Drosophila melanogaster: one gene and its partner. The protein of the gene in region 1 interacts with the protein of each later gene in a pairwise test. Each region holds a gene or a part of one and is shown on either strand. Other genes may lie near its edges.

Evidence for each region.
Region 2: the proteins of eIF4E3 (region 1) and CG8907 interact in a two-hybrid assay, tested with the Drosophila melanogaster proteins (one large-scale study listed by BioGRID).

What each region holds. Positions count from the first base shown.
Region 1 is NT_037436.4:8,227,494-8,231,243, reverse strand, and holds eIF4E3 (eukaryotic translation initiation factor 4E3), read right to left. Parts: upstream 2,021-3,750; 5' UTR 1,863-2,020; coding exon 1,811-1,862; intron 1,746-1,810; coding exon 1,487-1,745; intron 1,421-1,486; coding exon 1,346-1,420; intron 1,292-1,345; coding exon 1,192-1,291; intron 1,129-1,191; coding exon 1,041-1,128; intron 984-1,040; coding exon 823-983; 3' UTR 676-822; downstream 1-675.
Region 2 is NT_033777.3:17,006,872-17,013,210, forward strand, and holds CG8907 (uncharacterized protein), read left to right. Parts: upstream 1-1,958; 5' UTR 1,959-1,998; coding exon 1,999-2,057; intron 2,058-2,538; coding exon 2,539-2,932; intron 2,933-2,989; coding exon 2,990-3,034; intron 3,035-3,095; coding exon 3,096-3,986; intron 3,987-4,588; coding exon 4,589-4,961; intron 4,962-5,036; coding exon 5,037-5,377; intron 5,378-5,445; coding exon 5,446-5,541; 3' UTR 5,542-5,662; downstream 5,663-6,339. Other genes in the region: Irc (Immune-regulated catalase), read left to right, coding at 1-41, 212-242.

The DNA of each region.
Region 1 (3,750 bases):
AGGTTGGACAGGATGTCGGAGATACGCTGCCATTGGCACTGACATAACCCCATGTGCAGTGTATCACGTTCCAGTCATTTGGTGGCTGCCACTTCATAATTCAATAAAACAATAAAAGCAAAATCCTTACAAATTACAGCAATCAAATCATACGACTTACATGGGCATCAGTGATGACAATTCAGGGTCTGAATATTTTGCACTTTCAAATATCATTTAGTATGTGAGCAGAAATATTATACATATCATAGGTGCTGAGATTTCCAGGAATACCGGCAATACTATCTGAAATATTAGTTTTTGGAATATGGAATATATATATATTTGGAATATAGAATGAAAAACCTGCTAGGAGCACTAGCAGCACTTCCCTGGAAATGGAGGATATTGCGCTTCCCGAGCATATTTCCATAAATTGGTCACAATTTGCTATGCGCAGCAGCACGGAAGACAAAAGCCCTGAAAGGACGACGCACACACATAGGAAGGAATAAGCACTTGGCGCGCGATGGCAGCCGTTAAAGGATGGGCAGAGTCACCCAAAATTATGACGCCAAGGATAATCGTAGTGAAGCGAGTATGTGTTTCCCACTCCGCCGGGGAATACGTGAGGCGACTATAGTAGCCTCGGGATACCGGCACACGAATCGTGGCCAGAAAGTAGTTACTGTTTCTACTGCTCTACGCAATACTTTATTCATGGTACAACCGATATCTATCTCGAAAAGCATTGGTGCGCGTGGGATAAAATGTGAGTTTGACAAATGTATAAGGCTTATGTACTATCGTTGGAAATGTACTATGGCGCCCTTGGAAATTGGCCTACAATGTGTAGATGGCATTGACATTGGGTCCATGGTTCACCATGGCATCCTTGTGCACCTGGTACTGGATTTCCATAATGCCCAGATGCAGCAGCTCCTTTATCTGCCTGCCAATGGACAGGATAGCCTCTACATTGCGAGAGTCCTTCGTCCAAAGGGCTGTAAAGAAAGTTGACCTTAGAGATACCCCAATGTGAAATGCTGTCTTATACCCACATAGCTTATTAGCCTTGTTGCGCACATTGATGACCACTCCACATATCTCGTCCGAGTGCTGGAAGCACTCGCCAATCATGCACAAAAGCTAAAGGAGATAATGCTTTATAATGCATTGAGCTTATAATTATGGTGCAATCATGTGGCTTACCAAATCGTGCCACATCTTATCTATATAGGTCCTGGAGGCCTTGTCCAGGAGCAGTATCCAACGACCACCGTTCTTATTGGTGTCATCCTCCCACATGGGACTAAATATTTATATACATAAGACGAGGTTCAAAGAGCAGACTTTCAGAACTCACCGAATATTTTTCTTGAAGACCATGTAGTCATTGAATATCTTCAGATCCGATGGCGGCTTCACAAAGTAGTACACACTGTCGAAATAGAATAGGATATATATATATAGGATATATATATATATATATGAATCTGTGTCTGACCTGAAGAAGTCCTCAACGGTGTTGAAGCTGGTCACATCGACGAGCATTTCGGCCCAGCGCTTGGTACGATCGTTCTCCAAGTGCCACAAAGTCCAGGTATGCTCCAATGGATGCTTCATGGCCAGGTCGTAGTCGATGTTTTTCATCACCCGGTTCAATGAGGGCTGCAACTCCTCCTCATTGCCGCTCATCAGTTCCAAACCATCATAAACTGCCAGACCATGTGACCAGTCATTGGGATCTCCATACGGCACCCATGCTAAATATATTCGATTCGCATATCGAATGATGAATCGTAAAAAAAAAGATCTGCTGTCAGCTTACCAGTTTCCTCAGCATTCTGCAATCCGTTGCTTACGTAACCGGTGTACACCATTGTTTTTTATTGATTCAATGCGATAAACGAACCTTTTTTTGTTAGTTTTCTCGTTTTATTTTACTAAAAAAAACTCCTTGAAATGGTATATGTCTCGTGCAAAGTATAAGCGTTAATGAAAATGGCTTAACATGAGTGCACACTTTGACAAATCAAGATATGACAGCTAAAGCGTTGCCACCTTGGTTATGAAAAAGTATTGGAAAAGTCATGTGACCATCTCGTTGCGTAATATGCTTATTTTCAAAAGACTCTATCCCTTTATCGCCTTTATTATTTAAAATATTTTATGGTACATCCTGCCATTATTTCATCAATAAATCTTGTATCCAAGTCTTAAGCACCCCATTCAAACACTCCGATATTGCAGCTCCCATTCGCACATTTTGGTTGCAAAATCAAATTGAGTCGGTTAAGTACGAGCCCGAGGGTCTATCAATTGAAATGTCACGCTAATAAAATAAAATGCCACCGAGCATACGATAAATGCACGAAAATAATAAAATGTGACTCAAATGAGCGACGACGACAGCAACCACAGACACAGACACGGCCACACAAAGTTGGCAGCCGGAAAGACGGATACGATTGGGAATGGAACTGGAGCGAGTAGAGGAATCCCCCTTTCTTGTCTGCTCTGGCTGCTCCTTGTGCAACAGTTTGGCCTGCAGTCAATAATCGAAATCGACTTGGGCTTGTGGCAATAAAAATTTGTCTTCGCCGCTTAAGTTGTGCGCCTTGTTGCACACACAAGGTCCTGGGTCCCTCCGTGCCGGAGTCCTTTGGCAAAGCCCCACACCTCACCCCTGCCCGAACCCATCACCACGCCCCTGGCGGCGGTGCAGATAATAAAATATGTGAGTCGCTACGTGGCAGCTCCTTTGGCGTTGGCAAAGTAGCTTTGGGCCCTTGTAATGTGCACCATTTGTTGCGCGGCTGGTGGTGCGGTGGCACCAACTTGCACTCCAACCAAGATGCTCCGCACCAGCTCCATCTCCGTTTCCATCTCCATCTGCTGGATGCACGGGTGAGTTATGCCGGCCAAGTTTGGAACAAAAGTGTTGGCACTGCTCCTTGTTCTTGGTTCTCGCAGCCAAATAAGTTGCCAGCCCCAATTTACTTAAAAATTCTATTTATTTTTGCTTTTAAGCAGCTTTGGCGGCTGCTCCAGCTCGTATTTCTGGGATTTTTTGAGGAAAAAACTGCTCCAAATTTGTTTCGTTAATTGGGAGAATAAGTTAAAACAAGGAATTGTAAAATTTTAGAAAGTGTTTTAATATCTAGACTATCTTAACTTAAAGTACATTTTATAAGCTCGTATCGCACGTTATTCCCTTCCTCTCTTCACTTAAACAATAGATAAAACTTTTTCAGCTACTGCTGGTTTTTAATATTTATATTTTTTGACATGCCTGTTTATTCCTTGAATCCCATAACTAAAAATTACCTGCTCCAAATGGAGTTGGTAGCCCATAAATTCCCGAGAGGGAAAACTTTAGTTCCAACTCTTTTTTTGGGGCTTCTCCCCCATTCGAGTTAAGTTGCCGGCAAACGCTTAGCTATGCTTTGTTAGATTTGACTTTGTGCTCCGCTCTTCTCAGGTGGCACTTTGGCGTATACGCAATATTTTACAGCTTTTTGCACTTTGCTGGCTGAGCTGAAAATACATGGTCAGTAAATCTTTTAAAATATTGTAATGTTGAGGGAGTCTATGGGGGGATGGCTCCCGCACCAGCTTAAGCGATTTGAGTGCCGAAGCAGTAAAAACGCCCACAAACTGCCGGGGAAAACGAAGGGGAAAAGCGCGTAAATGGGGCAAACTACAAGAAGAAGCCAAGGATCCAAGGACTCAAGTATCCAAGAGCTAGGACCTCATCTTGAGGCAGTT
Region 2 (6,339 bases), on another chromosome or scaffold:
TCAGCTGTTCCCCAGAATATCTTCCAGTTGCCATCGGCCAGGTTAGTATTGGAAAAAAAATCATAATAGATCACCTGTCACTCGCTTGAGTCACAGTCCGTACACAATTTGATTCACATTTGATATTATACTGAGTACTGGAGTGATAAGCTCAGCAACCAAAATTATCTACAACCTTAATGATTGTTTTTTCTTTCGCGTTTCCTTACAGAAATCAAATGGTCTCTTGTGAAGACGTCTAGAGGTTGACAAAACAACGCTGCTCACATTTAAGATTGTTTCCAAACCAAAAAAAAATATATATAAGAGTCAAAACTCATTAAATACCTCAATCTTGATTCTTATTATCTTATTGCTATATTGGTTGTTAACTATACGTTTTGTCTAAGGGAACATCGAATTACAGGTAGAATTACATGACATAGACATGAATTTACAGATCAATTGTGTCTGGTTGACACTTTTGATAACTCTCAATTCAGAAGCGGATCGTTAAAGTCACGCAATATTACTATACTCAAAGTTGTTGCAGAAAGTGTTGCGGACAGTGCGGTACGTGTATTTCCATTTTCAACAATTCCCATTTTCAACTGTAATGAGGGTCGCTTTTTTCTGTTATTACGTGAAGTAGTAGTCATTAAAAGGCAAGAATGTCACAATTTGCTCCAATAAAAGTTATTGGCCAATAAACGAATAAAATAGTTACCCCAGACCCTAAGCATGATTGTTTTAAAGCTCTTTATTTATGATGAAGGACTTTCTTAAGTTAGGAATGATTCATAGGCAACATACAAAATACATGATATGATAATACGAGTAGAATAAGATATAAAGTAAGTTGTATGTAGATTTAATTGATCGAAATTATGCGCGCACGTCATGACATAAGTAATTTTCATTTCCGTTTTTTGAAAAATAGTCATCAAGACGTTTTTAATGATTTCTGTAAAGATTAAAACAACCATAGAGATGCATTTTTGCGATATAAAACTTATACTTAAGTTTTATTCAAGAACACTTTCACTTTTTCGCCAATCAATAATAAGCTATTTAAGTAATGTGTTAATGGAACTTAAAGAAATTCCTAGTAATTACTATCTTTAATTGAAAGTAAGATTTGTTGTTGGTAACAGGGTCAACTGCTGACCATTTCATACGATCCCACAGTGGGCCGATATCAAAATCAAGGCCCAAGGGTAGCAGACTCTCTCATAAGGAATGGTATTCGTATTTGTATTTGTTGCTCTGCTTCCAGATAAGATTGAAAAAGTGCCTATGAGCACCAAGAGATAAGGCACACTTTTGCTTTTGCGATAACGCACCATCGCAATTTCAGGCAATCAATTAATGAGCCAGCTGATATCGCCGATTCCCATTCCCTTTGGGCCAGCCAACGTCAGTTAGTTGGAGTTGGAATTCGATTCACAGCGGGTCGAGAGTTGTAGATCGGGTCGAGAAAAAAGAGCAAATAAATAAATAAAGAGCACAGTGGGCAGCACACAAGGTAACCAATCCATCGGTTCTTCTAAGCCCGTAAATCAACATACCAACGATATGTCTCAGACATCTGTATCTTAGGATCTGATGTCATGCCAGTGAAAGCAATAAATAAATCTCGAAACACGGCGGTAAATAATTGACCCACAATCACGGCCTAAAAATACGCGATTAACTCTTATATTCGAGTCCTTATGTAATAAGCTGCCATTAACGATTGCTTCATGAGCGAAGAATTTCCTGGCTTGTGATAACTGCAAAACAGAAATAAAGTAACGCCAGCAAACTGAAAAAGCAAAGCAATCGCAAACACAGTGCCAATTGCGTTTATCTAATCGGACAGGTAGCTACCACACAGGTGAAATAGGTACTCTCCTATGTACATATGTACACCTATGTACTTCTAAATGCAAAGGTATCTAATGGTAGCCATCTATCTGATTCGCATTGCCCATTGGGAATCAATAGTTTACCAGAACGCTTTGATTACACACCGCCGCAATGGTCAAAGCAGGCAATAGGACCCTGAAATACTTCCGACCCATTTCGGTCAAGTATGGGTAAATATCAAATATCAAGCGTGATAGACAGGAGGCTATCTCATAGATTGAAGCATTGCCAACACCTGTCTATCATATACCCGTATACTTAAAGTGCCACTTTGGAAATTTTCGGTGTTTTACTGTTTATGTTAGCATAACATTCAAACAAAGAGATCTTTTCGTCCTTGATCTGCATTTATAGTGTAAAAGATGCAGAACAAGATAGAAAATTCTTTACTATTGAACTATTAAAGTTTAACCTATTTTCCTTGTATTAAAAAGTGTAAGAGCAACTATTACTCATCGTCAATTACCTCTATGTCATGCATTAGTTGCAATGTAGTGTTATCAACAAAACAAAAAGAAGGGCAAAGAATTGCGCAGTTCATATTCTACAATATGTGCGCCTGAATGCCAAACTTTACATGGAAACAACCAATAAGTGATAAAAAAAAAAAAAACTATAGTTATTTGGAATGCCCATTTCCCTATTTCTCAGGATGCCACAAAACGGCTACGAAAATGGAGTCCCTGGCGGGAATCAGGCAAATGGGCACTACGACGAGGTCAAGCCCACCTATGCCCTGGAGCACTTGGCCACCTTTAAGCTGAAGAACGAGGCTGAGGTCAAGCAGCCGAAGGAGAAGATGAAGCTTCTGGTCGAATTGGAAAAGACCGGGGGCATTTGGCCGCACAAGATGTTCATGAGCTTCAATGGGCAGTGGCTGGTGATGCTGGACAGTGATATGAAGGAGATTGAGAACTTTCCGGGGAGCCTGATCACGGAGCCCACGGCTTTTATAAGCGATCATCCGCAGGAGTCATTCAACAATATCCTCATTTTCTCAGTGCCCGGAATCTCACTGGGCAATACCGAAATGCACATCTTCCAGGTGAGCAGCCACGATTTTTCAGCACTTTGAGATCTGTAATAATTAGATCATTAATAGGTGGCCGATGTCAGTTCCGTGCTCTTGGTTGAGGATCTAAAGACGGTGAGTTGAGTTGAATAAATAGATCCCCGATCTATATAATCCCAATACCACGATTTCTCAGCTAAGCAAGGGAACCCCTGTGACAGTGGATCGCAACAAGACGCCCATCCTGCTGCCCAAGCCGGAGAGGCCGCAGAACCAGCAGGCCAAGGATCAGTATGGAATAGCAGCTGCTGTGGCCGGAATAGCAGCCGAGAAGAATGCCATAGACAAGGAGCAGACCGAGAGGGATGTCCAGGTGATAAACCACTGCTTCGAGGACATCGAGCGGTTCATGGCCCGTCTTCATTATGCCGCCGAGGCGCTTAACGAGCTAAAGTTGCGCAAGGAACAGCATAATCCCCACGGTGAGGGACTTTTGGTCCTGAGATCGCGACCACCAATCGAGAGCGAGTTCCATGACATTTTGGCCAAGGCGAAACTGGCCCTTATATACTCCGTTCGGCTGCAGAACCAATTCACCAAGCCCGCCGATCCGGTGCACAATGTCTTCATATCGCTTAAATCCATCGTCACGGTTTGCAACGATATCTACGTGGATGCGGGTCTGCCGCAGGCGGTACTTAATCCCCTCCTGCGCCGTGAGACCATTGCCTTCCTCAATGGCACCCTCGACTCCAACGAGATGCAGCTGTGGCAGAGCCTCGGTCCCAACTGGACGGTTCCCAAGGATCAGTTCAAGGATCACAAGAGCTCTTATCATCCGATCTTCTACGACGATTGGTCTCCCGATTGGGTGGTCGATGAGGAGGTGCCGTACCTGGCTCCTGCTCTAAAAAAGAGCACAACGCCTTCGCCAGTGCCGGTTCCCATGCCCCCGAGTCCAGGTCTAGGAAATCGCACCTGGCTGAGTAGATTGGAGAGCCGAAATGTCAAGATCGCCGAGGTTACCTTCAATAAGTCGGCCACCAACGATAAGGAACTAAAGGTTACAAAGGGAGAGTATTTGGAGGTAAGTACCTAATAATAATCGAAAGGGGTTTTAATGTCAGTTCTTATCATTCAGATCTTTTAGCCAAATTTATCCCAATTTCAAGTTCCTTTAATTAAGATTTGCACAACATTTAAAACGACTTGCTTTTTTAATCGTTCGCTGACGTATGAATGTATGTAAGAGGCAATTATTTTGGGTTACAATACAGTTTTGTAAATATATAGGAATGTCCACGTGTGAGAACTGAATGATTTGAAATCTTATAAGGCACAGGTCTTTTACTTTTATATTAATCTTTTGTTTTGGAATGTTACTGATATAAAAAAGCTTTAGATAAGTATTGGTTGTGAAGATATGAAAATTCATTGCCGGTAATATATATGATTCAATAATTTTAAATTCAGGCATTTGAGATGTCTTACCAATGAGAGGTCAGTAACACTATATCAATACAAAAACTTTGAATGCAATTACTAAACATTGATTATATTTTTAACTTTATACCATGTTTACTATACATGGTACCAATCTTATCGATTCCCCAATTACGCGATCTTACCTTCATATCACCATGATAACAGACCTTATAATAACTATCATATAAATCGTCTGATTCCAAGATTATCGATGACTCCCGCAACTGGTGGAAGGCCCGTAACTCGTACGGAAACATTGGCTACGTGCCGCACACAGTGCTCACGCCGTACAACTTTGAGCCCGGAGTAAATGGCCGGGACACGGAGTCGCTGGCCTCAATGGCTTTGACGGAGAACGGCGGCGAGGAGGCCATTCCTCCTCCGCTGTACCGCAACACAATGGCCATGTATACCGCTCCCGTGGAGCAGCCGGCGGCCAATGGCAAGGCCATGCAGCGCACCTTCTCGATGCCCAACGTGCCCGTTCCACCACCGATGCCTCCACCGAGCGATAGCCAAACGCCCACGCCCAGTGGCACACTCAAACGCAACATGGCGGCGGCAGGAGCACTAGCAGGTGGGTACACTAGTAAATTAAAAAAAATAATACAATATAATAATGATATTTGTATTTATCTCATTCGCTTACCAGCCATGCGGGCCCGCAATGATTGCGAGGCAGATGATCAGCTCTACTACATGCAGGGCGACGTGCATGATGAACTGCGTCTACTGCAGCAGCAGCGAGAGAGGCGCAAGGACCTCGAGATCCTTAAGACGCCGGAAATCTTCATCACCCAGAATTCAAAGCCAAGCGAGGTGGAGGAGTGGCTGCGGGGCAAGGGATTCTCGGACATCATTATCAAACGATTGCACACGCTATCCGGCGAGGAGATCTTCGCCCTATCACCGCACACCATCGAAAGTTACTTTGGCCGGCGGGAGAGTCGCCGCCTCATTTCCCAGATCGTGCTGCAAAAGAATTTCTGCGAGGTGAGTTCTTGGACATATCCTCACCTTATCTAATCTAATCGAATCCATTCCAATATCCAATTTTGCAGTACAAAACCATTCGATCATCGGAGCTTTCTGCCAAACTGGCACGTGCTCGCCAAAAGGCCGATCAGTCCAATGGCAATCCCAACGAGGTCTTCTAAGACTCCCAGTATCCCGAGTTTTTTAGCCGGAGACCAGAGAGACAAAAATGCTTCAGATGCCATTAATTTATTTATGTGTAATAATCCTTCATTTATGTTAAACAGTGTTCATACGTATATTAAAAAAAAAAAAAGACAAAAATGGGTTTGATTTATATGCATTTAGTGTTAACATCTCGAATTGATTATAAATGTAATATAGATACTTTATTTAAACACAAATATTTATGAAGTGAAGAAATCATATGATTTCCTGTTTAGAAACTTAACTTCCCTAAACTCAAAAGTGGTATGGCATGATTAATTAGGCAAGAATATGTTTATCATTACAGGAAACTTTGAGAACTGGTTATGGAACAGTCCTAATGAAACGCTTATTGGTTAACCCAGATACCTTATATGTCGAACTCCAGTTCGAATTGCAGACTTCAATCAAAAGACTTACGAAATAGCCGAAATGAATTGGTTTTTTCAATAAACACGATGTTCAATGTTATGAAGAAGTAATAGACGTCGATTAAGAGTAATAAGTGATAATCTTCATAAATTCTGCTTCGTGAGTGCATCCTAAAAGTCAAGTAAGTGGGCGTTTCAAACCGGTAGGGGCGTGGCGTGTTATTTACCTTTTTTGTGAACACATTGCGGGGGAAATAAGTATTTGAAAATGTAAGTCACGCGTCTGTTCACCAGACAAATCGGATTTGTGAAGTCACATGTTTCAAGGCTCCAACCGGTCTCTTGTTAGCCTGGTTATTTGGCTAAACATATGTAGCTTCACGTGTACTTACTGTCTAAAAC